7 linked regions of the Canis lupus familiaris genome follow. The protein of the gene in region 1 interacts with the protein of each later gene in a pairwise test. Links are inferred from orthologs where the notes say so. Each region holds a gene or a part of one and is shown in the gene's direction. Other genes may lie near its edges. The genes, in order: FHL2, SAXO1, SP2, JUP, ZNF131, CCDC92 and DCP1A.

What was found.
Region 2: the proteins of FHL2 (region 1) and SAXO1 interact in binary tests that used the Homo sapiens proteins (3 or more experiments, as listed by UniProt). The two-hybrid records come from large-scale screens. The link is inferred for Canis lupus familiaris from reciprocal best matches to the Homo sapiens genes FHL2 and SAXO1.
Region 3: the proteins of FHL2 (region 1) and SP2 interact in binary tests that used the Homo sapiens proteins (3 or more experiments, as listed by UniProt). The two-hybrid records come from large-scale screens. The link is inferred for Canis lupus familiaris from reciprocal best matches to the Homo sapiens genes FHL2 and SP2.
Region 4: the proteins of FHL2 (region 1) and JUP interact in binary tests that used the Homo sapiens proteins (3 or more experiments, as listed by UniProt). The two-hybrid records come from large-scale screens. The link is inferred for Canis lupus familiaris from reciprocal best matches to the Homo sapiens genes FHL2 and JUP.
Region 5: the proteins of FHL2 (region 1) and ZNF131 interact in binary tests that used the Homo sapiens proteins (3 or more experiments, as listed by UniProt). The two-hybrid records come from large-scale screens. The link is inferred for Canis lupus familiaris from reciprocal best matches to the Homo sapiens genes FHL2 and ZNF131.
Region 6: the proteins of FHL2 (region 1) and CCDC92 interact in binary tests that used the Homo sapiens proteins (3 or more experiments, as listed by UniProt). The two-hybrid records come from large-scale screens. The link is inferred for Canis lupus familiaris from reciprocal best matches to the Homo sapiens genes FHL2 and CCDC92.
Region 7: the proteins of FHL2 (region 1) and DCP1A interact in binary tests that used the Homo sapiens proteins (3 or more experiments, as listed by UniProt). The two-hybrid records come from large-scale screens. The link is inferred for Canis lupus familiaris from reciprocal best matches to the Homo sapiens genes FHL2 and DCP1A.

What each region holds. Positions count from the first base shown.
Region 1 is NC_049231.1:39,049,291-39,053,724, forward strand, and holds the start of FHL2 (four and a half LIM domains protein 2), read left to right. Parts: upstream 1-1,486; 5' UTR 1,487-1,627; intron 1,628-1,922; exon of another isoform or gene 1,923-3,017; intron 3,018-4,434. UniProt on the Homo sapiens protein: May function as a molecular transmitter linking various signaling pathways to transcriptional regulation. Negatively regulates the transcriptional repressor E4F1 and may function in cell growth.
Region 2 is NC_049232.1:38,829,211-38,833,109, reverse strand, and holds the end of SAXO1 (stabilizer of axonemal microtubules 1), read left to right. Parts: intron 1-2,539; coding exon 2,540-3,543; 3' UTR 3,544-3,682; downstream 3,683-3,899. UniProt on the Homo sapiens protein: May play a role in the regulation of cilium length. Stabilizes microtubules at low temperature.
Region 3 is NC_049230.1:24,184,170-24,188,786, forward strand, and holds the start of SP2 (transcription factor Sp2), read left to right. Parts: upstream 1-1,645; 5' UTR 1,646-1,657; coding exon 1,658-1,745; intron 1,746-1,889; coding exon of another isoform or gene 1,890-1,892; coding exon 1,893-1,969; intron 1,970-2,674; coding exon 2,675-3,649; intron 3,650-4,617. UniProt on the Homo sapiens protein: Binds to GC box promoters elements and selectively activates mRNA synthesis from genes that contain functional recognition sites.
Region 4 is NC_049230.1:20,925,823-20,929,721, forward strand, and holds part of JUP (junction plakoglobin), read left to right. Parts: intron 1-1,475; coding exon 1,476-1,626; intron 1,627-1,735; coding exon 1,736-1,857; intron 1,858-2,450; coding exon 2,451-2,490; intron 2,491-2,746; coding exon 2,747-2,898; 3' UTR 2,899-2,912; intron 2,913-3,232; 3' UTR 3,233-3,899. UniProt on the Homo sapiens protein: Common junctional plaque protein. The membrane-associated plaques are architectural elements in an important strategic position to influence the arrangement and function of both the cytoskeleton and the cells within the tissue.
Region 5 is NC_049225.1:67,662,863-67,666,761, reverse strand, and holds part of ZNF131 (zinc finger protein 131), read left to right. Parts: intron 1-654; coding exon 655-1,340; intron 1,341-3,899. UniProt on the Homo sapiens protein: Plays a role during development and organogenesis as well as in the function of the adult central nervous system. May be involved in transcriptional regulation as a repressor of ESR1/ER-alpha signaling.
Region 6 is NC_049247.1:5,970,583-5,974,857, forward strand, and holds the start of CCDC92 (coiled-coil domain-containing protein 92), read left to right. Parts: upstream 1-1,475; 5' UTR 1,476-1,547; intron 1,548-1,590; exon of another isoform or gene 1,591-1,647; intron 1,648-1,725; exon of another isoform or gene 1,726-1,932; intron 1,933-4,275.
Region 7 is NC_049241.1:36,947,261-36,950,471, forward strand, and holds part of DCP1A (mRNA-decapping enzyme 1A), read left to right. Parts: intron 1-972; coding exon 973-1,191; intron 1,192-1,475; coding exon 1,476-1,556; 3' UTR 1,557-3,211. UniProt on the Homo sapiens protein: Necessary for the degradation of mRNAs, both in normal mRNA turnover and in nonsense-mediated mRNA decay. Removes the 7-methyl guanine cap structure from mRNA molecules, yielding a 5'-phosphorylated mRNA fragment and 7m-GDP.

The sequences.
Region 1 (4,434 bases):
AGCCTGGGATCATGACCTGAGCCAAAGACAGATGCTCAATCAGAGTCACCCAGGCGCCCCCAGAAACTTAAGTTTTAAGTGAAATCAATGTTTTTATTATAAAAGCAATAAAAGATCATTGTGTACATTTTAGAGATGTCATATAAGCCAAGGAAAAAACATCAGCCATAATCTCATCACCCTGCCATAAGCACATTCCCTCATTGGATGCCTATCCTTTCAGCATATGTGCAATAGTAACTTCTCACACATACACCAAGTTTCCCTTAAAGTGACCTGCATTTTCACTACCAACATGTCATCATATTGTTTCTATGTTATTAAATATTCTTCTATGACATTTCCAAAGGTTGCAGTGTTTCCTTCATGGCTATACTATTCCTCATTTTACCAGTCTCGGTTGTTAGTCATTTTGGTTGTTTCCAACTTTCCCCAATTATTAAAAAACCTGCAAGAAATGTCCCTGGAGCTGTATCTCTGCTGACATCCACGATCCTTTCCTTAGGATAAATTCCCAGATGTGGAATGTCTGTCATATGGCAGACAGCTGCTGCCAAACAGCTGACCTCAGTTGTCCTTCACCTGACCCCAGCCATGGCTGAAAAGCCTCCCAGAATTAAGAAATTTAGGGGTGAATCAGGAATTATTGCTACCCCAGATTAGTCCTCTCTGACCTCTTCTAGCATATGGTTTTTTTAAAAGCCCTGGGTGGCTCAGTGGTTGGGTGCCTTTGGCTCAGGGCATGATCCTGGGATCCCAGACTGAGTCCCACATTGGGCTCCCTGCAGGGAGCCTGCTTCTCCCTCTGCTTGTGTCTCTGCCTCTCTTTCTGTGTCTCTCATGAATAAATAAATAAAATCTTAAAAAATAAAAATAAAAAAGCTCCATAAGATTTCTGCATTAGCTCTATAAAGAAAATGATTTGTGGCCCAAGAATCCCCCCAATCATGCATGAGTGGGGGGTGGGAATGGGGAGAGAGGGCCTTTATAAGGAGACTGCATTCCCGGCCTCCCACGTGCCCAGCATGAAGCCGATCCCTTAGAATCTCCCCTAGAATCTTTTTCACCCAAACCAATACCCCTGAAGCCAGGGAAGAGGGTCCGTGTGCTCCTAGCAAGAGGCAGCGCTGACAACCCACAGCACACCCCAGGGCACTGTGTGGCCTGGATGACTTTCCTCCCCCTTCTGTACCACAGCGCCGGCCCTGATCTCGGGGTGGGGGGGTCTCCCAGCATCCGAGCCCCTGCAGCCCCCCAGGGACTCCACCACTTGTCTGACCAAGCGAGATCCCTCCCAGCGCTCGGCTTTCCCCTCTCACTCCTCCTTGGGTTGCTGGACTGTGTGCAAGGCCCAGGGTGTCCTTGAGGTGGGCAGGCCAAATGGGGAGCTGGCACCCCTTCCCATCTGGGGGCCGAGGCTCCTTTAATTTGGATACCTTAAAAGGCTCGCGGGAGCGAGGGGCTGGGTTCTTATCTCTGGGCTCTGGACAGCACCTTATTTATAGCCCTGCTGACACGAGGCGGCAGCTGGCCAGCAGCTGCACACACAGTTGCAGGAGCAGCCCACGAGCGTGGGCCCTGCCTCCCCACTGGCCCCTGGGCTCGCCGAGGGCAGACGACAGGACAGGTAAGCTTCCTCCTCCCCGGGGCCCCTTCCTTCCCTGTGCCCTGTGTCCTCCCAGGCTTCGCTGCCAGCTGTGCGGCCTCCTGCCCCGGGAGGGAGCTCTCTGGCACTGTGCACCTGCAGACCCCAAACCCAGCCCCAGTGGCCTGGCAGCGGGCCCCCGCCTGCAGCCAGCTCCTGCCCGGGGCTGCGGGGCTGTGGGGAAGGAACAGAACCTGGCCCTGGCCGCTGCTCCAAACCCACGGCAGGTGCCTCCGGGAGTAGAAAGAACACGGAGGGAACCCTCCGTTCATCTTACCCTCTCAGACGGGGAAACAGGAACTACACGGAGTTTTGAACACCAGGAAGCTTTTTGTAAAAGAAAAAAGAAAAAAAAAAAAAGTATAAAATAAACATTGGGAGGGGGGAAACCACAGTGCCCTGGAGCTTTTTCTCCTTGACAGAATTTCCGGATGGCCTGGGGTGAGGAGGCAAATTACTGAGGAGTCTGATTAGGCTGGGAAAGTATGTTTATACAAGATGACTTGTTACGGCTGACGGTTCCAAAGTACAGATAGCTGTTGTGTGCTTAAAGGAAATGCATTCACATTTTACTAATTTACTAATTTCTAGAGCAGGATGTGAGCAAATGCACAGTATTGAGTAATGCTTGGGCCAATTGTGTAATAATGTTAACACTGATAAGATGGCATATTCTGATAATAGGTGTCATACATGTTAACATCCTCTAGTCATACTCCATGCAAGGCACCTTATCAGGTCTAATCCAATAAAAAGAGATATTACCAGGCCATTTTTTAAAAATAATTCTGAGGTCAAAAGATAGTATTAACACTTGCGTTATTGGCTGATGTTATTTTATCATGGACTTGCTCTATATAGGTTTGTTCTGGTTTTATTTTATTTATTTGTTTCTTGAGGAATGCTATTTGAATTTTGTTTTATTGCTAGGTTTATAACATGATGTGCTGTAATCAAACCTATTACATTTTGAGATCCATCCAATCTTAGGAGAGTTTTTGTCTTTAAAGCAGTAGCCAGCTACTCAACTCACACAATTACATTTTCGAGGCCTTTTCTGATATTAAGAAAATGCTTCAATGTATAACCTTCATGAAGAGTTGCATAGTTTCCCCTAAAATATTCCCTGACTGCTCACTCAATCTTGCCTGTTTTTGAATGCATTTTGCACTATTAGATTTCTTCATCCCACTTAGTGCTTCTGGAGTTCTCCATTGGTTCCAGATCCTGAGGCTAGGCCACGTCATATTTCTCTCTGTAATCTGATAGCTCTTAACACAGGGACCTACATAGTCTACTGGTGTCTAAAATACTTCAGATTTAAAATAGATGGCCAAGAAACTGAGTTTAAATTGTCCTCTCCCCACCGTCAAAAAAAATTTTTTTCAACCAAATAAATTATAAAGATCTTATTGGTTTTACTCAATGATTCATCAATTGGGCAGTATCCCACCCAGCAGACAGAAAAGGGCTGTGCAGTGTGTACAAAACTGAAGACCTTTACAGACAGAAGGGAACAGGAACTAGGAAGGTACATGGGACAAAAAAAGTGGACTGTTTATTCCAACATTACTTTCCTTTAGAGGATGACAGGGCTCTATCAGGCAGATGACCTAACTAATGCTCATCAGGTGAGTTCTGACTGCTTTAAAATTCCATTACTGGAAGAGGCCAAAATTGTACTTAGGTTAGGTGTGTTTGGTGACGTGGAGCTTAATATAAGTGACTCCATTTGGGGCCTGTTGTCCTGTTTTTAACACCACCAAAGAAAGAGGTGAAATTATATTCATAGTGTTTATATTTTCTTTCATTGTATCTTACTGTACAAATATATGCCAGAAAATACAGACCAGCAGAGAGAAGAAAATGAAAAATTATGTGTGGTCTTACTACATTTATTGTTTATCCTATTTCTTGATTCTAAGAAGTCTTTGATTTTGAGATGAGCCACTAATTTAACACTAGCTTTACAAGAGAGGGAAGGAAAGAACGCCTGGGTGGCTCAGTGGTTGAGCGTCTGCCTTTGGCTCATGGTGTGATCCCAGAATCCCAAGTCCCACATTGGGCTCCTTGCATGGAGCCTGCTTCTACCTCTGCCTGTATCCCTGCCTCTCTCTCTGTGTCTCTCATGAATAAATAAAATAAAAAAAAAAAAAGGTGGGGGGGGGAAATTCTCACTATATACCACTCCACATTGATGTATTTTAGGATGCATCTGAAAACAATAAATTATATGGAGAACTATAACTTCTAATTAAGAAAAAAATATATCATCAGGTCATTTGGTAATCTGCTTTTTGTTAAATTTATGATCAATGTCCTTTCACCAAGCATTCAAACTTTATTTCTTTGAAATTAGTTATCTTTATATGACATTGTGATTTCTTTCATTTAGCCAGAATATTCAAATACTTATAATGATGGGGAATTAGAATGATGGAAACTTAAAAAAAAAACATAAATTAAGCTTTAGATAAGCAATTTTATCAGGATATAACTAGTTGGGTTTTTTAAGATTTTATTTATTTATTCATGAGAGACAGAGAGGCAGAGACACAGGCAGAGGGAGAAGCAGGCTCCCTGCAGGAGCTAATGAGCAATATGCTAATTTCTACACTACTAATGCAACCCACTGAATAGTAAAAATACACAACCATCTTGTGCCTTGATCTACATGACCCCTAAAAGTTTATTTGGCTGATTTCTTCCTCATTATCACTGATTCATCAGCCTTTTATCATTTAGTCTCCAATATACCAAATAAGGATGAAAAATAGAAAGGAACTAAC
Region 2 (3,899 bases), on another chromosome or scaffold:
GGGTCCAGTGAATATCTTTATGACTTCTACTTTGAATTCTCTATCTGACATGTTGCTTATCTCTGTTTTGTTTAGTTCTTTTTTTTTTTTGTGGTTTTTGTCTAGTTCTTTCTTTTGGGACATATTCCTGTGTTTCTTTCTATTACCATCATGAATTATTGGGGAAATGTAAATTAAGCTGCAGTGGGATACCACTAAATGCCTACTATAGTGTCTCTAATGAAAAAAAAAAGTGTTGATAAAGATGTGGAGGAATTAGAACCTTCACAAATTGCTGATGAGAATGTAAAACGGTACATCCACTTTGGAAAAGTTTGTACAATCTTAAAAAGTTAAAAATAGTTTTGCCATATAACCTAGCAATTCTTCTCTTGGTATATACCTAAGAAAAATGAAATATATATTCATACAAAGACCTGGCTATGACTGTTCAGAACAGAAATTTTCCCAATAGCCAACAAGTAGAAACAACCCAAATATTCATCAGTTGTTGAATAAATAAACAAAATTTGGTATATCCATATGATGTAATATGATTCAGCAATAAAAGGAGTGAACTATTACATGCTGCAACAAGGATGAATCTTGATTGTTATGTTACATGAAAAAAGCCAAATGCAAAACACTATATATTGTGCCATTATATTTATATAAAATGTCCAGAAAAGACACACCTATGGAGACCAATAGCAGATTGTGTGGTTGCTGGTGATGGCCCTAAAGATTAACTGTAGGTGGGCTTGGTTGATATTTTTGGGGTAGAAATGTTCTATAACTGGATTTTGGTGATTGTACAACTCTGTAAAAGTTACTGAATAATTAAAAAAATGTAAGATGGTGCATTTTGTGTTATACAGATTAGATCTCAGTAAAGGTGTTTTTTTTAAAAAGTGTACCTATGGACTCCACTGATATTGGCTATATATAACCAAGGCTCCTTAGAAGCTGCTTTTGTTTCTAATGTTTGTAAAGCTGTAAGCAGGAGAACTCCCTTCAGATTCAGAGTGTTTACTAGAATTTCATATTGGTTACTTTTTAGATCTGGTAATTTATGGACACAATGGGGGCAATGTAGGACCTGGGTGGGAGCCCAGCATTATGGAACCAGTATCGAGGTGTTTGGATGGTACAGTTTGCTGATTTTTAGTTTCAAAGCTGTCCTTGGATTTGTGTGGGGAAGTTACTTTAAAAGGATCCTAGTGCAATTTGAAGACAAAACCTCCAGGATTCATGGAGATCATCTTTAGGGAAGATTTTTATTTGGGTACAGGTCTCACATTATCTTGGCCATGCCAGTCCCACAGCAAAGGTTCCCCTCGAGACAGATATCCTCTAGATACATGGACCGATTCTTTACATTCTTTAAATATTCTGAAATTATTCTTCTGCAAAAATTCTCTGATTATTTTTCATTAGTCTTTATTAGTCTTTATTCTCTCTAAATGTATGGTGCTCCTAACTGTATTATAGGCTGCCAGAAGAGCATGACTTTGGAGTCAATCATGTGGTTTAAATCCCAATTCTTAAGTTCCTAGCCATGTGACTTTAAGAAAAATTTCTTAGCCTCTCTGAGTCCTGCTCTTTAAAATCTGTAGAATAGAGATAATTATACTCATCACAAAGGGTTATGGTAAGATGAAACAAGGTCATGTATGGAAATCCCTTAGCACAGTTAGCTGGTATATAGTGTTCTCTGATTGTCAGAATCAGATAGTGGAGTGGGTACAGAGTATGGATTTTGGATCCTGATTTGTAGCCCTTCTTTTTCACTTCTAGCCAAGTGACCTTGGGCAAGTTCCCTAAGTTCTCTGTGTCTCTGCTTCTGCATCTATAAAATGGGCATATTGAAAGCACCTGATTAGACCTGTCCACAGGTTAAATGAGTTAATATAGGAAGTATTAAGAATATTAAGATATTAAGATATCACATGATAATCTCTATGCAGGTGGCAGCTGCTGTTCTCTCACCAGCCAATGCAATGCCTTATTCCCTTGGGGCCAGCATGTTTGATTTATGTGGGTTAAATGTGTGGGTTATAGGGATACAATCATGGTCACCCCAAGGTTGAAAAGAGAGGTCTACTTGGTCTGGCTGGTGGCCCACCAGTGGTGGCTTGTGAATCCCCTTTCTCACTACACCATGTGCATCTTCTCTTTCTGTGCTGATTCAGAGTGGGCACCTCCCCCATAGAGGAACAGAACTATTCTTGGATCAAGGTACACTGGTGGTTGACTCCTCAGCTGGAATCAAATCCTTAGATCCTCCCATAGCTGTGGACTCTCTAAAATCCCTGCATGCAGCATTGTGGGTTATGATGAGACTCCTATAAATATATCTGTTCTGCATACTCACTTGCAAATCCTATAAAGTTGAAGTATGAAGCCCAGTGTTGAGGCAGTGAAGGGATCTACTCTAGTCTTCCTTTGTTTCAAGGACCATCTCCCTGGAGACTGGCTTAAGGCTTTGGGGACCTTTAGAATACATGTAGGTTAAGTGGCCTTGATTTATAAGTAATTACCACTTCTGCTTTATTTTCAGCTGATTACTTACCTTGGAACCAACCAAGACGAGAGCTGCTTCGTCCAGAACACCATTACCGGCCAGCATCAACCAGGTTTGATAGTAGAACTACACACCAGGATGACTATTCTGTAAAGGGCCTAGTGAACACCATGAGCTGTAAGCCTCTGGCCATGCCCAAGCTCTGTAACATACCGCTGGAGGATCTGACTAATTACAAGATGAGCTATGTGGCCCACCCTATGGAGAAGCGCTTTGTGTATGAAGCAGAGAAGTTCAGACCCTGTGAAATCCCCTTTGAAAGCCTTACCACCCACAAAGAATCCTACCGGGGCCTGATGGGAGAGCCAACCAAGAGCTTGAAACCTCCAGCCAGGTCCTGTGGTTTAGACACGACTTTCTCTAACACCACCGAGTTTCGAGATAAGTACCAAGCGTGGCCCACACCCCAGATATTCTCCAAAGTTCCTGTCACTTATGTCCCTCCTGAAGAAAAGATGGACCTTCTGACAACAGTGCAGGCCCATTACACATACCCTAAAGGTGCCCCAGCTCAGTCCTGCCGACCGGTGCTCTCAGTCAAGAAGGGTGGCCACTTTGAAGGCTCCACTACCACCAAGGACGACTACAAGCAGTGGCCTGGCATGCGCACAGAGCTAGTCAAGCCCGTTCCCCAGTTGAACATTCCCACTGAGCCCTTGGATTGTCTGACCACTATGCGGGCCCACTATGTGCCCCACCCACCCATCAATACCAAAAGCTGTAAGCCTTCCTGGGTGGGCCCCCGAGGAAATATCCCTGTGGAGGGCCAGACCACATACACCATCAGCTTTACTCCCAAGGATGTGAGCAGGTGCCTGGCTTCATACGCTGAGCCCCCTGGCTACATCTTTGAGGAAACAGATGCTTTGGGGCACAGGATATACAGGCCAGTTTCCCAGACAGGCTCTCAGCAGGACAGCCGTCTTTCTGTAGATGATTCAGAAAACCCTAACCAGCGGGAATTGGCAGTGTCAGCCTGATATTTAAAAATGGTTACTTAGAAATTGCACAATACTTTTAAAAGCAGGTGATTGAGAGTTATTCATTGGCCAAAAAAGAATTCCCCAAAATGGAAAAAAAAAAAAAAAAAAAAAAAAAAAAGAGTCTTCTTCATCATTTCCAGGACACTTGAATAAAATGAGAATCGCTTGACTCAACGAAAATGACATTTAATCACGGGCTAAGTATTCCCCTTAACCCTCCCTTGGCTTCTTCCCCCACTTTGGTCCCTTACCTTGTGTTGATGGAATCAAAGTTGGTCCCAAGGGTTCTTCTCTGAACCAGAAATATTTTATTGATGTAATCACTGTATGAATTGACATGATAATTAACCCTT
Region 3 (4,617 bases), on another chromosome or scaffold:
CTACCCTGCAGTGTCTAGTGCCAAGCAACACAGTCCTCCCACGCTTCTGAAGAGCTGTTCTCCTTCACTTTGCACAGATGTATCATGAATTAAATGTACAGAATTAAGTTGTCTTAATTAGCCCACGCAGTTAGAGTGGTGCCACTTGGCAACAGTACAGCTGTAAACATACGCACAGGCCCTGAAACAGGCAAAGCTTGGCAAAGCAACGGTCACCCAGTCAGTGTATGTTCATTTTGAAAGGATAACCATCACAACGTACACAAGAATAAAACATGCTGGGCAGAAAAAGCATTAGCCTCCTTAGGAGAAGCTGCAGACCCTTGTCTTGGGAGCCACCCCTAGTTTGAGACAACCCTGATTGACCTTGCAGCAGCAAACCACTCAGGATGTGTGGATCTCCGCACTTTTAGGAGGAGGCACATTTGGCTTGGCCTCCAAACCATACTCTCCTGCCTGCAGTTTTTTTCCCTTCTTATTCATAAGAATATTATGAAAATTTCGGTCAGATGCCTTGTTGAAATAAAATACAGAGTGTATACCCTTTCCTTGATGTATCCATGCAAAACCTCATGAAAACAGCATGATTCAGTTTTTGCAACCCTGTGCCTTCTTCCTTAGGGTCATTGTTGTCTTCAGTAATTATAACGTGCCATTCAGTCTTGTTTCTAGGATTTTGCCAAGGATCAGTGTCTGTAATATTTCAAGATCTCCCTATACGATTTTGTCTAGAGCTGTGCTTTTGGCTTCTCACACAGTTTATTTCTCTGAAATAATAACCTTGTTTCTGTACTTCCCAAGAGCTACTTTCCAAAGGTTAAGGATGCGAGTCTCACTGCCTAGTGTCCTTTTCCTTAGTGATTTATGAACTACAAGATGGCATAGATTCTTCCCCACCCGACCCCCAAATTCTCATGATTTCCATTTTACTTTAATTCTTTAAATCTGATTTAAGTTCAGAGTAGACATTCCCTTCATTACTTCCTCAACGTTCCTTATTGTTCTTTCTTAAAGGGGGGGGGCACAATAGGGTATATTCATTGTGGGAAAATGAGAAAATCCAGAAAAACAAGAAAAATTCTTGAAGTCAAGCAAAATTCTACTGCCAGGAGATAATAATGGGTCTTAACGTTTCAGCATTTTCAAAGACATTTCCTGCTGTGTTCACATATAGAAATATGTACACATTTAACAAAAATAGAATTTACTCTGTTTTCATTCTCATTATATTTAGTCATTAGTTCTAGTCTTGGTGATGCCTTTGGGGCCATACCTGTTAGCCTATGTAAAGTCACTGAAAGTGGTTATCCACATGCTCAAGATCATTACCTGGGCTCTGGTACCTTTGTGGTGAAGGCTGAGCATAAAGCACCTTAGATCTCCTTTCTCGTGGAGCAGGTGTGTCTTTGTCAGGGATCCTAGGAGAGAAGCGACTGTCAGCCTGGCATTTGGCTATAGAAGGAGTGAGCAAGGAGCTTGGGTTAGATCTAGAGGATTAACCAGAGGTGCAGGGCTGGGATGAGGGCGGCTCTCCTGCCCACCAAATAGGGATTCCATCAACCTAGTTAGAGTTAGCAGTACCCTGTAGAGATTCCTCCATTGGATGACTGAAGCTGGTCTCAGCAAAGTCTTGTGTCTTCCTGTTGTCCCAGGCTTTATGATGCCTAGAGACAAAACCAGCTGCCCTCCCAGCCCAGGATGGACAGATTGGAGGAGAGGAGAGAAGGCCACCCACCGAACAAGATGTAGGGTTGCTAACCTTGAGTGGGGAGGCATTAGAAAAGGTTGACCTCTTGGAGAAGCAGAGAGAGGCAAAAGGAGTACCTGAGGCCAATGGGCTTGGGTTCTGTTTGGGCCTCTGGTGACTTATTCAGTCTCTTTTCTTCCAGCAGATCCACAGACCAGCATGGCTGCCACTGCCGCTGTCAGCCCCAGCGACTACCTGCAGCCCGCCGCCCCCAGCACCCAGGTGAGTGAGCAGTGGGTTTGGGTGGGGAGGCAGTGCTGCATCAGCCTGGAGGCATTCTCTGAAGCTGACATTAAACCACAGCTGAAAACTCTGTACTGGCTTCTCTGTAAACACCCTGGGACATGACCCCTGGGAAGATTCGGTGGTTCATTTTCTCTCAATGAAGAAGCCAGGGCCACTTACCTGAGGTGGCACAGTTGAGTTGGGAGAAAAGCAGGATTAAACTCCAGGTCCCTTCCACCAGACCCACTGACCATAAAAGGGAAATAGAGGCTGTGTCCCTACAGTCCAGAGGCTCTGTCCTTGTAGCCTCGAAAGAGCACCCTCCCCACTTTACCTGAGTGTTTATTCTTCCTCCCTTCCTTCCTCAGCTGAGGAATCAGGGGCCCCTCAGCCCTCGTGATGGGCCAATGGACTTCTGCCTAAAAGCTGAGGATGATTCTGTGACCCCTTGAGAAACACGGGTAGTGGGAAAGGTGTTTGTTCACCTTGTTATGGGGGCTTCTAGAGAGTTCCCCCCGAGAAAGGCACTGCCTACCCTTTCTCCCTCAGAGAAAGAGGAGATAGCAGGGAGAGGGAAGATGCTAGCACCCTGCCTACCACAGAGGTGCCAAAGAGCCTGCCAAGAGGAGGAGACCACGAAGGGTAGAGGGTGGCTGGGCAGCAGGTTCATGTCTCACTTTTCCTCCGCTCGTTCTCTCGCAGGATTCCCAGCCATCTCCTCTAGCCCTGCTTGCCGCAACATGTAGCAAAATTGGCCCTCCAGCTGTTGAAGCTGCGGTGACGCCGCCTGCTCCCCCCCAGCCCACACCACGGAAACTCGTCCCCATCAAACCTGCCCCTCTCCCTCTCAGTCCTGGCAAGAATAGCTTCGGAATCCTGTCCTCCAAAGGAAACATCCTTCAGATTCAGGGGTCACAACTGAGTGCATCCTATCCTGGGGGGCAGCTCGTGTTCGCTATTCAGAATCCCACTGTGATCAACAAAGGGACCCGATCAAATGCCAATATCCAGTACCAGGCGGTCCCTCAGATACAGGCGAGCAGTTCCCAGACCATCCAGGTACAGCCCAGTCTCACCAACCAGATCCAGATTATCCCTGGCACCAGCCAAGCCATCATCACCCCCTCACCATCCAGTCACAAGCCTGTCCCCATCAAGCCAGCCCCGGTTCAGAAGTCAAGTACAACTACCACCCCTGTGCAGAGTGGGGCCAATGTGGTGAAGCTGACGGGTGGGGGCGGCAATGTGACACTCACTCTGCCCGTCAACAACCTTGTGAACACCAGCGACTCTGGGGCCACCACTCAGCTCCTCACGGAGAGCCCCCCCACCCCTCTGTCTAAGACTAACAAGAAAGCCAGGAAGAAGAGTCTCCCTGCCTCCCAGCCCCCTGTGGCTGTGGCGGAGCAAGTGGAGACGGTGCTGATTGAGACCACCGCGGACAACATCATCCAGGCAGGAAACAACCTGCTCATTGTTCAGAGCCCTGGTGGGGGCCAGCCAGCTGTGGTCCAGCAGGTCCAGGTGGTGCCCCCCAAGGCCGAGCAGCAGCAGGTGGTACAGATCCCCCAGCAGGCTCTGCGGGTGGTGCAGGCGGCATCTGCTACCCTCCCCACCGTCCCCCAGAAGCCCTCCCAGAACTTTCAGATCCAGGCGGCTGAGCCGACGCCTACTCAGGTACCACACTCACCCTCTACACCCGCCTCCCTCTCCTTCGCACTGAATGGCTGACACTCTGTTCCCCCTGGCTTGCTTTAGAAGATGATACTGAGGCAGCTGCTGATTTGACCTGAGTGCTAGGAGTCAGCATCATCTGGGGTCAGTAGTAAGTGGCCATTTCTGCTGACATGTGGGCTCTCTTTGGTTCAGGTGGTTATGTACTGCTCATCCTTAGAAATCGGATAAGACATCCCTATATACCTATATTGTCCACTTTTTCTTTTTGGAGAGTTTTTTGGAGGGTGGTTAGAGGACAGATACGTATTTTTTAATAATAAAGTTTATTTTTTACTATAGAATCACATACAGCAGCAAGAATGAAATCTCAGAACCATAGAATTTGATGTAAAGTAAGAAAATTAATAAGAAAATTTTGGTCATTGTTAATGGCAAGAAAAAAAGTAGGAAGACACAGCCCAGCTTGATGGCAGGAACACTTAGGCTAGATCCATCTGGGATGTTAATAATTCAATAAGAATGTTATTTGGGGCTTATATTAAGGTGCCATACTACTCTGGAATCTATTTGACTCTGTGAGGTGGTTTTATTCTTCGTGTATGCCTAGTAAATGCCAGAGATTATGCCCATGTTGCAGATGGAGAGCCTGGAACTCAGAGGAGTTAAGTTTCCAAGAGCTCATGGGGCACAGGTGACAAGAGGCAGGATTCAACCCAAATTTCTGACTTTAAACCCCATGCTCTTTTCTGCTTTTCACCTTGACTTGCTACGTCTTGGTATGGCAGGTGCTACCATTAAAATTGAGGACAAGGTGGTTGTTGTTTTTAAGGATCTTTTTTAATATAAGAAAGTAGTTCCTGCCATTGAGGAATTTATAATCCAGTTGTCTGGGGAGAGAGAACTGAGGCATCACAGTGAGTGACAGTAGGGAGTTGTGTTCTTTCCAGGTGGACAAGGAGTGCCCTTGA
Region 4 (3,899 bases), on another chromosome or scaffold:
CATGGGTTTGGTGGGTCTGGGCCAGTCATCAAGAGGTCATTGGAGGAGTTTGGAGAACAGTGACCATGCCAGGAGTGACCCCTTAGCAGATCCCTGCATGGGAATGGCTTTCCAAGCTCAAAAGCAAGGGAAGAGATCACAAATGAGAAAAATATCTCAACTACATAAACGTTAAAATCATCTGTATGTCAGAAACAGTCTAAAAAGCAAGAAAAAGTCAGTAGCAAACTGGGAAAATGTTTGCAAGTATCACAACAGACAAGAGTTTAATATCCTTCATATAAAAGAGCTCAGTAATACTAGACCCCAGTGGTTAGATGGGCAGAGGCAGAAACAATCCCAGGTCGCTCATAAACAGGCAGTGTTCAACCCCAGGAGTTTAAAGAAATGAAGCTTATGCTCCCAGTGAGATCGTCCCATTTTCCGCTATCAAACTGGCAAAGAAAAAAAATGAGAATGCTCTGGGCTGGTGAAAATAAATAAATAAAAATCTTTAAAAAAAAATTATTTATTTATTCATGAGAGACACACAGAGAGAGGCAGAGACACAGGCAGAGGGAGAAGCAGGCTCCATGCAGGGACCCCAATGCAGGACTCAATCCCGGGTCTCCAGGATCACGCCCTGGGCCAAAGGCAGACGCTTAACTGCTGAGCCACACAGGTGTCCCATAAATAAATAAAATCTTGAAAAAAAAAAAAAAGTCCATTATATCATATGGCTGAATACAGTGAGGTTGAAGAATTTTTGGCTTTTCAAATTTTTTCCCTTTAAGTACTAGAGTTCAGAGTAAGGGATTAGCATCCTTGCAACCTCCAGTTGTGACCAATGAGGGGTTTTGTTTTGTTTTGTTTTTTTGTTATTGTTTGGCTTTTTAACACTCTCTTTTTTCTTATCAGTATGGACTCAGATTTCTAGGTAAAGCTTTTTAATAATGTAGGAAAATGCCTTATGTTACAGTGTGAGGTAAAACAAACAAACAAACAAAACAGGAATCAAAATATCAAAATAAGGGACAGCCCAGGTAGCTCAGCAGTTTAGCACTGCTTTCAGCCCGGGGCCTGACCCTGGAGTCCTGGGGTCGAGTCCCCCGTCGGGCTCCCTGCATGGAGCCTGCTTCTCCCTCTGCCTGTGTCTCTGCCTTTCTCTCTGTGTGTCTCTCATGAATAAATAAATAAAATAAAATAAAAATAAAAATAGGGATGCATAGTCCTAAAACAGGACTATGATAAAAACATGATGGAAATATGCCAGTGTATTAACAAAGGCTATATGTGGGTGGGGAATTATGGCTGGTTTTCTTTCCTATTTCTTTATGTTTCTTAGACTTTTCCACACTTTCTAGTAGGAGCTGGTGCTAAGTCCAGAAAAGGGGAGCTGAGACTAACAGGGCTGGGGGGCGAGCGGGCTGCCCATCTGCCTTACACCTTACCCACCTGCGCCCCTTCCCCACCCCACGCACCCTCCCTCTCCCCAGCTCCTGTACTCGTCAGTGGAGAACATCCAGCGCGTGGCTGCCGGGGTGCTGTGTGAGCTGGCCCAGGACAAGGAGGCAGCTGATGCAATTGATGCTGAGGGGGCCTCAGCTCCACTCATGGAGCTACTGCACTCCCGCAATGAGGGCACCGGTGAGGGGCTGTGCTGTGGGCCAGGGGGAGACAGCGGGGGCTGGGTCTTGGTCCTCCAGCCAGGGTGAAGGCAGGCGCTTAATTGAGTTTTCCTCTCCTCTCTGCTCAGCCACCTACGCTGCGGCTGTCCTGTTCCGCATCTCCGAGGACAAGAACCCAGATTACCGTAAACGCGTATCTGTGGAGCTCACCAACTCCCTCTTCAAGCATGACCCAGCTGCATGGGAGGCTGTGAGTATCCTGGGTTGGACTGCAATGTATGGTTGTGCAAGTTGCACACTACACATGGACAGTGCCTTTGAGGGAGCTCCTCCTACCATACTGTCAACTTCAGATTTTTATTTTGTAATTGGATCATTGATGACCATTTCTAGCAGATGGCAGAGGTAGGTTAAACTATCTGCTTTTGACCTGCCAGAATGGCAATTTTATTTTGTCCATGTTATTAGAAGTGTTTGAAGCAGGGGGCAATGCCTTTTTCTAACGTGTGCAGAGGTGCTCTGTAGGCTAGTGCTGCCCCGATCCTGGGTGGGGCAGCTCCCAGTACCCGTTCTCAAGGCATCTTGTGCACTGCTGTCCCCAGGGCTGCCCTGGTTTTGTGGGCATCCCTATGCGAGAACGGTGGGAACTTCAACTCTTCGGAAGTGACTGAGGAGAGGAGTCCATTGGGGCACTGTGTAACCCCATTTCATTCCTCTGTTCCTTCGAGGGGTCTATGCTTTTCCCTCTTTGTAGAAGCATCTCTAGCTGCCCACCCCCCAGCCCAGAGCTGACATTTTGCACCCTTCTCCCCTCCTGCAATGTTTCTCTGTCTCTTTCCTTAGGCCCAGAGCATGATCCCCATCAATGAGCCCTACGCAGATGGTGAGTGTGTGCAGAGTTCCTCAGGGGTCCCCGAGACCCTGCAGTGTGGGGTGTCTGGGGATGTGAGTGAAGGAGAGGCATTGTGTCTCCAGGGCCGCATGACCAGTGGCAGCCACTGCAGAGTCCACACCTACTCCTGTGTAGGCCCCCTGATGTAGGGGAGTGGAGAAGGGGTCAGGCCCACTGGAGATGGACTGTGAGGTCCAGCAGGGTGGTCTGCAGACCTTAGAAGGTCCTCTTCCCTTCTTTTCCCCAGACATGGACGCCACCTACCGCCCCATGTACTCGAGTGATGTGCCCCTGGACCCCCTGGACATGCACATGGACATGGACGCGGACTATCCCATCGACACTTACAGCGACGGCCTGAGGCCCCCCTACCCCACGGCGGACCATATGCTGGCCTAGCTGGCTGCAATCCAGTACGGCACCTTCCTGCTTGCAGGCTTCCCCCATGCCTGGGGCCTCTGGGCCATTGAGACATGCTTTTCTTCCCCGCTAGAACTTGCTTCTCACAAAGGCCCTGTCATCTTTCCTTTGAAACCTTGGCCCTTTTCTGGGGGAAGTGAGTGTGGGGCCTTTTGCCATTGAGCTCCCCTGAGGAAGGCGTGCCTTGGCCTGCCTCACTCCCTTGTCTTGCTGGGGGCAGGTGGGTAGTGGGTGGGTGACACGGGGGTGGCACAAGCTCCTGGAGGCCATAGGCCTGCCCTGACCCCTCTGTGTATAACTCCCCCTCCCCCAGGTGCGGTTCCTCATCTGAGAGGCTCTCCATGTGGGCGATGGGGCGAGACAGGAAAGTGCCTGAGCCCAGGGGAGCAGGGCCACGACTTCTCGCTGTGACTTCTCGCCGGCCCATGCCTCCAGACATCCTCTATAGGGTCTTTCTAGGGATGCTCCTGCTTTTCTGTCCTAGGCTGTGGGTCCAGGGCCCAACACCCCCTCCCACCTCTGTGGCCCTGGCACTAAAGCTTTAGACTCAACCACTCACTCTCTTCCCCCACCCAGTAATCACCCCCCACTCTCACCCCCACCCTGGGTGGCCTGACTCCAGCAACCCAGGCCCCTCAGAGCTTTGGTTCCTTCTCTGGGCCTGATTTTCTCACTGAACTCCAACCCACCAACTGTTCTGAGCCCCTGGGGTGGCCAGAACCCAGGTTCAATGCTCAAAGTCCCAGAATCCAAAGCTTGTTTGAGAAGTTCAGGGACGGACCAGGGAGATGGGACGGAGATGAGGACACTGCTTGCTCCCCTCTCGAGGATGTTCAGCTGGCTTTGGCCCCTGCTTGGGAGCACCCCATCCCACCCACACAACCGCCCTAGCTGACTCCTGAGAAGTGCTCTTGGCTGACCCCTCTGGTGTGCGGTGAGGGGCTTTCTCTTCCCCTTCCTGTTTCAAACCCTCCACCACC
Region 5 (3,899 bases), on another chromosome or scaffold:
AAAGATTTTCTCTCTTTTTTTCTCAAAGCTTAATAGTTTAGTTTTTATCGACAGTCTGTGGTCCATTTTTTTGTTTGTTTGTTTGTTTGTTTTAAAGATTTTATTTATTCCTGAGAGACAGAGAGAGAGGCAGAGACATAGGCAGAGGGAGAAGCAGGTTCTGTGTGGGAAGCCTGATTGTAGATTCAGTCCCAGGATCCCGGGATCATGACCTGAGCCAAAGGCAGATGCTCAACCACTGTGCCATCCAGGTGCTCTGTGTGGTCCATTTTGAAATAATTTTTCTGTGTATGATTCAAGAGTAGTAGTTGAGGTTTATTTTCTCCATATAAAGACCAGTTATTCCAGCAGTACTGTTAAGAGATTCTTTTCTTCATTAAATTATCTTGGAACCTTTTTTCAAAAGTCAGTTGAATAAGTGGGTCTAATTTTGGACTTTACTCTGTTCATTAATCTTCATGTCTCTCACCAATATGGATAATTTACTGTAGTTTTTCAGTTTAGTCTTGAAATCAGGTTATAGTATAAGACTTCCAATCTTATTTTTCGCCTTTTCATATAAATTTTACTATGAGCTTATCAGTTTCTTTCCAAAAGCCTGCTAGGATTTTCACTGACCTTATAGAGTTTTAAGTCCATCTATTATGTTTTCAGGAACAAAGAAAACTCAGCTCCACTAGAGGAAAATACCACAGGAAAAAGTGAGGCAAAAAAAAGAAAGATTGCAGAAACTTCAAATGTTATCACTGAGTCATTGCCATCTGCAGAATCAGAACCTGTTGAAATTGAGGTAGAGATTGCCGAAGGCACAATTGAAGTGGAAGATGAAGGCATCGAAACGTTGGAGGAAGTGGCTTCTGCCAAGCAGTCCATAAAGTACATTCAGAGCACAGGTTCCTCTGATGATTCCGCCCTGGCACTATTGGCAGATATTACCAGCAAATACCGTCAAGGTGATAGAAAAGGGCAGATTAAAGAAGAAGATGGTTGTGCATCTGACCCCACAAGCAAACAGGTAGAAGGTATTGAAATTGTGGAACTTCAGCTGTCACATGTGAAGGACTTGTTCCATTGTGAGAAATGTAACCGTTCATTTAAATTGTTTTACCATTTTAAGGAACACATGAAATCACACTCCACTGAGAGTTTCAAGTGTGAAATATGCAATAAAAGGTATCTTCGGGAGAGCGCATGGAAACAGCACCTCAACTGTTACCACCTTGAAGAAGGTGGAGTCAGTAAGAAGCAAAGAACTGGGAAAAAAATTCATATATGTCAATACTGTGAGAAACAGTTTGACCACTTTGGACATTTTAAAGAGCATCTTCGGAAACATACAGGTAACTGGCAAATGCTTTATGTTAAAAGTATATTTTCCACATTTGCTTCAAGTCTAAGTGTCTACCTTTTTTTTTTTTTAATTAGTGCCACAGAAACCATCTCTTGTATTTTCTAATATGCAGGCTGAGCTCACAATGTTCTGATGATACTAGCGTGTTGAAATATTGACACTTTAAGAGCAAAATCATTAATTTTGAAGTTGGTTGTTACTCTTACACCTTGTCAGTTTTTATATTTTTAGAAGAAATACACAAAACACAGTTTGTGATTATTTACCAAGGATTATAAATTATGAAATCCTAATTATAGGGAAACTTCGCTCTTAATATTTTTTCCTGTTTCTGATTTATAGGTTATATAGATAAGTACATTTACAGCTGACCTCTGGCATGTTTATACCTTTGCATACACTTAGTAACTGGTTTTGACCTGGTGGCCAGGTAGGCAGTGTGTGTGTTGTTTTTCCCACACCTCTCTAGGGGCACACAGTGTCAGGACTGATGAACAGCGGGGAGATGAGAAAGGTGAAGTCTTTCACTGCCATCCTTCTGGCAGCCCTTAGGCATGCAGGAGGGATCCCAGAGAGGCTCACTTTGGGCCTCTGTATCTATCCCCTATACCTGTTCTTCCCCTTGTCAGATTCCCTGTCCTTCCACTTCCCAAGCATTCTTTGCTGAGTCTTCTGTGCCATACACAGGAGCTACCACCTATGACTTGAATCTTGGGTGTGGGAAGAGCGGTGGATATGGTGTGCTAAGTGTCAGATTCTAGACACTTGTTCCCATGTTCTTGTGTGTGGTGGCTAAGGCTGTTTAGACTGTTTAAGTGAATACAACAAGGCTATTCCATGCTATTCAGTCTTTCTCTTTGCTGCAGTTTGGAGAATTTTGAAGACTTTTTTTCATAGATCTTTTGCTGTCCTGAGTTGCTCGCCACATACTACTTGAAACTGAGGAAATGGAGAGATTGAAATAAATGTGATATCCTTCATTTTTAAATGCTTGGTATCAGTACTCAGGGACTGAATAAATGCTTGGTATCAATACTTAGTGGTTACATGAAGAGCAAGAGAATCTCATAACTAAGTCTCTGTATGGATTTTAAAAGCTTTGGGGTCCAAGTTTGGGTAACTAATAGGTGTTAATGAAATCTTTAAGGGAAATATGTTCTGATTTTCAAACATAGGCATAATACCTACTGTATATTTAGAAACTGCCTATAGTAATAGTTTTGGGTCCTTAAATGGTCATCTATTTTAATGTAATTCGTTTTGCAAAATGCTATAACAGTAGCACATTAAATTAGTAAATAAATGTTCCTTGGTGTAACTAGTGTGCTTTGATAAAGGTTTACAGTATCCCAACAGATGGTCACTTTTACATTAGCATAAAAGTGGAAGCAAGTTGTCTCTCTAACCCAAAACATTACCTAGTGGCTTACCCACTGTAAAACAGGCAACACAGACTATTTTGGAAGTTTTGGAATGTGCTTTCCATATCCTATCCTTTGTATTTTGGATTAAATAGAAGAAAATAGAGCTTAAAGTGTATTATGTTGTATGTCTTTATAATTATGTAATATAATTTAATTAAGTAGTTAGAAATTACAGAACTAGATGTCCATTGGAAGAACAGTTTAACACCTAAAGCAAACTGAACTTTGTTAGCATTTAACTGCAATTAACTGTACTAGTAATTAGTAATAAGATAGTTGCAGATGTGACCAGTGACTTGGTGAATCAAGGGAGCATAAGTAAACGGTTTTAAATTGTGCTTATGTGGGCAGCCTGGATGGCTCAGCGGTTTAGCGCCGCCATCAGCCCAGGGCCTGATGATCCTGAGGACTCAGGATCGAGTCCCACATCAGGCTCCCTGCATGGAGCCTGCTTCTCCCTCTGCCTGTGTCTCTGCCTCTCTCTCTGCCTCTCTGTGTGTCTCTCATGAATAAATAAATAAAATCTTAAAAAAAAAAAAAAAGTGCTTATGTTAATAAAGGATGGATCATTTTTTGCTTTTAAGAAACTCAGTGTAAATGAGGAAACAATCCCATTCCTGTTTCCTATCCTCAAAATATACATAAATCTCCTTCAGTTTCATATTTTGCATACTTTTACTAGTTTATTTTTTTTTTTTTTAATTTTATTCATGAGAGACAGAGAGAGAGAGGCAGAGACACAGGCAGAAGGAGAAGCAGGTTCTCTGCAGGGAGCCCGATGTGGGACTCAATCCCAGACCCCAGGATCACGCCCTGGGCTGAAGGCAGGCGCTAAACCTCTGTGCCACTCAGGCGTCCCAATACTTTTACTAGTTTAGCGGTTTGGTTTCTTTAGCATTCTTAAAGCCTGCATTATAATCTGTGGCTTGATTTGCAAAATTTTGGCTGTTTCTTGTCCTATGAATTAGTTTGTTTCCATTTGGAAAATAGTAACGGTAATACCAACCTGCTAGGTCTTAGAGGTAAGGAAATGTTAGAGTCCCTGCCCTCAAGGAGTTCACAGTTATGTTGGGGGAGACAAGTAGGCACAGTCACATGGGATGGGCCAAGGGTTGATAGAGGTC
Region 6 (4,275 bases), on another chromosome or scaffold:
TATTGCGGTAGGACAACCAGTCCACAAACTAGCCCCTGGAAATGTGCGGAGCAGGCTCCTCCTAGAGAAATTTAGTTGTTAGAGTTCAGCAAGGAAGGTTTCACAAAGGAGCCGAGTTTTGAGGGAAATGAGAGGTGACTTGGCAGAGAGATGCGGGAAGATTAATCCAGATGGGAAAATGTCTGGGAGGTGGATTTACTGAGTTAATCGGAAGCGGGGGACAGTAAGCGAACTGAAGGCAGGTCCTGAAAGAGGAGAGGATTCCTTTGGATGTGGGAGCTGAGAGGGAGCTCGGCTGCGCGGCCATCCGGTTTACCTGGGTGAGAATCCGGCCCTTATTGTGGTCAAACAATGGAGGCGTCCAGCGGCAGCGGCGTTCTGCGCTGGGTGCGCGGAGGGCTCCTCATCACCTGGCGGGATGCTCGGCGGGCTCTGCCGGGACGCAGGGCGCTCTACGAAAACACAACAGCACACCATGCAGCCGGGCTCCCCCGCGGCACGGCCCGGCTCCCCGCTCCCACGGCGCGGCCATTACCGCCTCTCCGGGGACCTGCCTGGAAGGGCTCCAAGGCGCGGCTCCACGGGCTCCTGCGGCCGTCTCGCTCCCCCTTCCCTCGGCTCCAACAACAATGGAGCCCGGGCTCGGGAGTCCGGCTCCCGCGGGGCCTCCGCCCGGCCTCGCCCCTGCCGCTGCCCACCCCTCGCCGCGCCGCCGGCCGCCATCTGTGACCCCCGCGCCCCGCCGCCGGCGCCGCGGGCCCACGGCGGCCCGCCGAGGCCCGAGGCCGGGGCTTGCCCTCCGCCGGGCCCTGCCCGGTGGCCGCAGGGCCGGCCGGCTGCGGGGGGGCCGCGCCGCCTTCCCCTCCGACGCCCCGGGGCCGGCGCGGCCCCAGGCCCATCCTGAGTGATGGGTTGTTTTTCTTCTCTTTAACCCACTCATCGTCCTGCCAGCCCCGAGCCCGCTCCCCTTGTGCCCCTGCCCCCGCCTCGTTCCCGAAAAGAGACAGACTGCAGCCCGGCCGCCAGACAACTCACTCCAAGTGAGGGGCTGAAGCGCCCCAGGCCGCGGACTCCGCGCACCCACCCTCCCTCTCCTCCAGGGACACCTCACAGGTGCGCCTCCGAGCCGCGCGCGCGCGCTCCGCACACCCAGACGCCTCCGGGGGACAGCGCGCGTGCGCACGCACGGGGCCGACGAGCCCCGGGGGAGCGGGGGCCGCACGCATGCGCGCCGCTCGGCCCGCGCCCCGGCACCCCCCGCCCCCGCCCCCGCCGGCCGCCCGCGCGCGCGCGCCCTCCCCCCAATCCCAGGCTGGTCCCGGGAGCCCCCCCAACCCCGGCCCTGCGCGCGCGCGCCCGCTCGCCCGCTCGCCCGCTCGCTCCTCCTGCCCCGCCCCGCCCGGGCCCGCGTTACCCTGGGCAACCGCAGTGCGGCCGCACCTGAGCTCTGCGCCTGCGTCCCACCGGCCAGACCCTCCCTTCCCCTCGGTCCCGTCCCCTGCCCCGCCACCGCTGGGGGACGGGGGGCATCGCCCCCTCCCCGCGAAGTGAGTATCGAGCGGCCTCCCCCGCCCTGCGCCGCAGACAGACCCGCGCCGCCGCCGCCGCCGCCGCCGCCGCCTCCGCCTCCGCCTCCGCCGCCTCCGCGCCGGCGCGTCAGCCGTCCGCCCGGTCAGCGCGGCCTGGCCTCGCCGCCCCGGCCCCCGCTCCCGGCGTGCACCGCGGCGAGCGCCCGGGTGGGAGCCGGCGAGATGCGTTCGGCGGGCGGCGCCCACTGACCTCCCTCGGCCGCCCGGCCGGCGCAGGGCCGGAGCCGGGAGCCAGCCCCGCCCGCCGCCCCGCCCATGGGCCGCCGGCCCCCGCAGCCGCCTGCCGGGAGGACCGCGCCGAGGGGGGGAGCCGCCTGAAGGACCGCGACGGCCGCGCCCGCAGGTGAGGCGGGGCCCGAGGTGCGACCGAGTCCAGCCCCGCTCACCTGGCGGTACCTCTGGGGAGGCTCTGCGGGCGCCGGCGGGGGGTGGGAGCACCTGTCGGGACGGGGATTAGGTGGTTTTCAAAGCCCTCGCCGCGGGGGGCGGGGGTCCTCCCGTCTCGCCCCCAGGGCTGGGCGGTGGGGAAGGGGGTCCCCGTGCGGAAACAGCTGGGCGGTGGCGACAGAGACACGAAGAGGTGGACGCGAGGGCAGAAGTGAGGCGCAGCGCCCCCCGCGCCGGCTGTCCCCCCCGTGTTCCAGCCCGCTGTGGGGAGGGGATGCCCTTGCCCGGGCTCCAGTCCAGGCTGCGGACCCGCCGCACCGCGCACCCAGACCAATCGCACGGGGCAGGAGCGGTCAGCCCAGCGGCCGCCCCTGCCAGCCCCGGGGTGGGATTGTAGGGCGAGGGATCCGCATTGCAGGTGCACCAGGAGCACCCTGGGGCCTGGCCCTGCTTTGTCTGGGATGTGTGGGGAGGCGGCCGTCTGAATCCACATCGATTTTTTAAATGCGTTTTACCACCCTCTGGACGTTAGAGACCCTCCCTGATAAGTTGCGTCGTCTCGTGTCCTGATAACCCTTGCGTAAGTACTCTACCTTACAGCCCTTTTCTGAAGCTTTGATGTGGGCTTTAGATGACCCTGAATAACAATTTGCTTGTAATTCATGAAATTGAGCATAATGCAAATATGCAGTAGAGCTCCAGGCTTGCCTGCCGAGCTGCGGTCTGCTAGTGAGTTACTCCAGTTTATCTAACTTACGTCTCCATGCTGACCTGTTTTGTTTAAAGTCAAGCTTTGATATTTAGCTGTATGATCTATTCCAATAATGAAAATGACGTGGCCTAAGAGAAAATACAGTTGTGTTCCGAAATTTAGGTTGCGGTAATAGGTGTTATTGCAAAAATAACAAGCTCCGAGGTTTAATTTTAAAACGTGCTTTGATGTATTACGCATTTCCAGAAACCTACCTGTAAGAATGTAAAACTAGAATTGCGGTTTTTAAAAAAAAATATATATATATAAGATATTTTTAAGTTTGAGGTTTATGTAAAGAGCATTGTTGTTGTTTTATTAAATTTTTTTTGCACTGTCAAGAATTTGCCTGCATTTTCTTCCCATTGGAGTGTAAGGGGAAAGATGCTGACATCTAAAGTGACTTTTATTCCCTAAGAGGTTTTAAATTTAAGTATTTCTTTTGGTTAAGTGTTTGTCTTATGTGAAATATTTTTGAGAAAGGGTTTAAGGCTTGTGGTATATGTATATACCTATGTGTATATATGTATGTTTACATATACACACTATTGAAAAACCTTAAAGTAGTTTTTATTATTTCTCTGCATCATGTTATAATTACTCAGTGAATTTAGTTTAGATATGTTTAAAATCCAAAGTACAAAACAATTATTTGTATCAGCTTTTTGTTGTAGTACGTGTAAATACATCAGTCTAACAGGTTTCTTAGAAAATATTAATTCTTTTGAAAAACACGTGAGTCCTTTTACTTGCAATGGAAGATCACTTGGGTTCTTAACTCTTTCATCTGTGATTCATTGGATAAATTCATTTCAATGTCGTCACTTAATTGGCAGAGAGCATTTGCAACAATACTGGTGTTAACAACATTGATGCTTTTAAGAAATACTTATAAAGCATTCTCTCATGTTTCTAACAAGAAAAGACATGGGCCTTTTTCTTCTATCTGGAACAAGGTCAGCCATAAAAAGTTCCTGATACATAATGGGCACACATGTTTATTGAGATTGATTACATCTACTGGATTGGATCCTTAAAGGTCAGCAACTAGGTGCCTCTATGCTTCACACACCAAGGCTGCAATAAATGTTTGGCTCATATTGAAGTTCCAGACTAGTTAGGTAGGTGCTAGCTTAACACCAATTTTCACATCTCCAGCTTTGATGTTTAAAGATTTGGGCAGAGAAGTGAACGTGTCCTCATTGTTTTCAGATATTTAAGGTTTGTCATGCAGCAAAGGGAGTGTCTGTATTTAGAGTAATTCCCAAGTGCAGAAGAGGCCAAGTAGTATTTATAGGAAAACGTTTCACTTTGACATAAGAACAAAAGTTGCTTATGATTGGAACCACCAGCATTGTAAAGAAGGGGCTGCTCCTTCCCCACAGTTTCCAAATTAGCCAGTACCCCAACAGGGCAGGAATGGCTAGTAGGAGATAGCACATGGGGTGTGAGGTGGGTGTCTAGGGATTCCCATGGCCGTGGATTAAAGGGCTTTGTGGCTCTTTTTAATTTTTTTAATGGGGGAGCTTCTACAGCTGTGGGCACAAG
Region 7 (3,211 bases), on another chromosome or scaffold:
TTTTCAAGATCTTATTTATATATTTGAGAGAGAGCAGAGTGGGGAGGGGCAGAAAGAGAGGGAGAGGATCTCAAGCAGACTCTGCACTAAGTGTGGAGCCCAACTCAGGGCTCCATCTCACAACCCTAATATTACAACCTGAACCAAAACCAAGAATAGACATTCAACTGATTACAACCTGAGCCAAAACCAAGAATAGACATTCAACTGACACATCCAGGCACTCCTTTTCTTTTTCTTTTTCTTTTTTTATCTGAAGTAAAATTTTACTGCAGTGAAATACATATAAAATGCAGATTCTGTTTTATGAGTTTTAACAAACATAATATCCCTTGGGGTAACCATTCAATCAATATATGTAAGATTTCTATCACCCCAGAAAGTCCCTCATGCCCTCTTCCAATCATTTCCCTGCTCCCCATATAAAACTTTGCAGTTTTGGGGATCCCTCGGTGGCTCAGCGGTTTGGCGCCTGCCTTCGGCCCAGGGCGTAATCCTGGAGACCCGGGATCGAGTCCCACATCAGGCTTCCTGCATGGGATCTGCTCCCTCTGCCTGTGTCTCTGCCTCTCTCTCTCTCTCTCTCTCTGTGTCTCTCATGAATAAATAAATAAAATCTTTAAAAAAAAAACTTTGCATTTTTAATTTATCATAGGATTTTTTTTTTAAGATTTAATTTTTTATTTGAGAGAGAACATGCTTGTGTGCATGAGCAGGGATGGGACAGAGGGAGAAGGAGACTCCCCACTGAGCAGGGAGCCCAACGAAGGCCTCAAGGATCATGACCTGAGCCAAAGGCAGACGCTTAACCAACTAAGCCATGCAGACACCTCTTATCATAGGATTGTTCTTACTGTGCATACCCTGTGTGATCATACTTCTTTTGTGTGATGATCAGACTTGGCTTCCCAAGAAACAGACCCTTCATCCTTTAGCCGACAAGCTTCATTCATGACCATTGTTGCCCTGCAGGTCACAGGCCCCACACTGGTTACTGCAACAACCATGGCAGTGTCTTCAGTCCTGCTGTCCCCGAGTGTTTTCCAACAGACAGTCACAAGGTCCACAGACCTCGAGAGAAAAGCAAGCGCCCCTTCTCCACTGACTGTTGGAACATCAGAAAATCAGAGAAAGCCTTCCATTATTCTCAGCAAGTCCCAGCTCCAGGATACATTAATACATCTAATAAAGGTATGCAGACCATCCCAGCAGTTGAATCTGTAAACTTCTGTTCTTTAATTTTAAAAAACATAAATTCTTTTTAGAAAACCAGTTCATAAGGTGAATTGAAGACTAGCGGGACTGATGTTTCTCTCTTTCTGAGCATATACTCCCAATGGAAAAGTATCTGAATGAATTCCAAAATATTGATTGCAGCTGTCTCTGGGTGATGGGATTCTTTGGGTAGTTAGTTTTATAAATCATTTATACAGTAAGTTCTTCTGAGGTAAATGAAACATTACCATCTCTTCCAGAATGATTCCAGCTTCCTCAGTACACTTCACGAAGTCTACTTGCAGGTTCTGACCAAGAACAAAGACAACCACAACTTATGACTGGAGCAGAATAAATCCGAAGGCAGAATGTCGACCTCAGAAACGAATAGGCCTCATCATGGGAACTTCTAAACAGAACATTGAGTTTTGAGAATCCTGAAATTGAGCCTATGAGAAAGAGACTCATTCCTTAAGAATGTTTTCCAAGTGACGTTCTCAGTGATAATGGAGGTTTCACTGTGAAGCATCACCAGCAGACCTTTGTTTTGACAAAAACAAAACAAAACAAAAACAAAAAAAAAAAAACATTAAGTTGTGTGGGTGTTTTCATCAGCTGTAAGAAGGGATGTGAAATCAGGAGCCTGGTTTTCAGCTTGCTTTCACTCTCAAGGTCATAGGGAGGGGAGGGGTCACCAGCCTTGTAGCAGAGTTCAGCCCGCACCCCTTCCCCTGCTTCTCCCCCCTAGAAATTTGAGCCTTAGGCTGATAGTCAAGTTCTGAACAGAGCAGTAGTCAGCTCTATGCAAAGTAGCTTTGAGTTTTAAGGATCAGAGTTTAAGTTGGCAAATTAGGAATGATTTGTTCAAGTGAAGTATATTTTTATGAATGCCCCATTTGGGCCTTAAAAGTTCTGAAATTTCTCAATTGTGTTTTGTTTTGTTTTTTTAAGTGTCCCCAGAGCTGCCATGCTGCGGGCTCCCAGGGCAGTGATACCACGTGACTAGGGCCTCCTCCGGCTCTGTGATGGTATGGGAGTAGCATGTCACACCTTTGAAGCAAAGGCTGGGACTGGTAAAGACTGAATTTGATCAGAAACCTTCACTTTACGTTAAACTATTGAGTGGTTTCGAAAATGTTAAGTTTTGTGTGAAGTGTAGCCTTATTTTCCTTTTCTGTCTAAACACAGAAGTCATTGTTGATTGTTTTCCTTAACACTTGGCAAAAAGGACCAGTGGACCAATCTAGCAAAGCCATTCTGGTTCCATTCCTCGAGTCTACTGAGAGTAGTTTTAAAGCTATGCAGAAAAGGGAGCTGTTATTCATACTGCCCTTATTTTATTATAGAATATGGAGTTAAAAACAAAGTGTGAAATTCAGAACTTTACCAATGTATTCCTAGGCTGTGAGTACTTTTGCAGCCCAAAGTGTGAAAATATGTAAAGATGCTTTGTTATGCTGCTATTGACCTGCCATGATTTATATTTATTCTTTTATGGCATGTAATGGTGATTAGTAATATTTTAATGTAGACTTTGATTTATTTCAGCAATAGTAATTTTAAGATACTCTTTGAATGAAAGTGTCTTCGTTTCTATGATGCAGATCATTTTGTAGTATTTAACCAATTAAGATGCACTGCTTACTTTTCTGAGCACTATTTAATGATGGGGTAAAAACCCAGTTGGCTCAACCAGCTAGCATAAGGGTGAGCTGTGAATAATGCTGATGGATGTGGTGGTTCCTTGCGAACAGTCATTTAAGCTTTAATGGTAACTCAATCATAAATCGATAGATTTTTTTTTTTTTCCTAGCTGAGATTTTAGAAAATTACTTGTGAATTACATACTTGTTTTAGTTTGGTCTTAGTTTTTTTAGCATAAAGAATACTTTGTTTGATTGGCATTTGTTACTCTAAATATGCTTCCTGGGCAGCTTTTCTGCTTGTCAAATTTAGTGTCTTTTCTTGCTGTCTACGTAGTTATTTGTGAATTGTA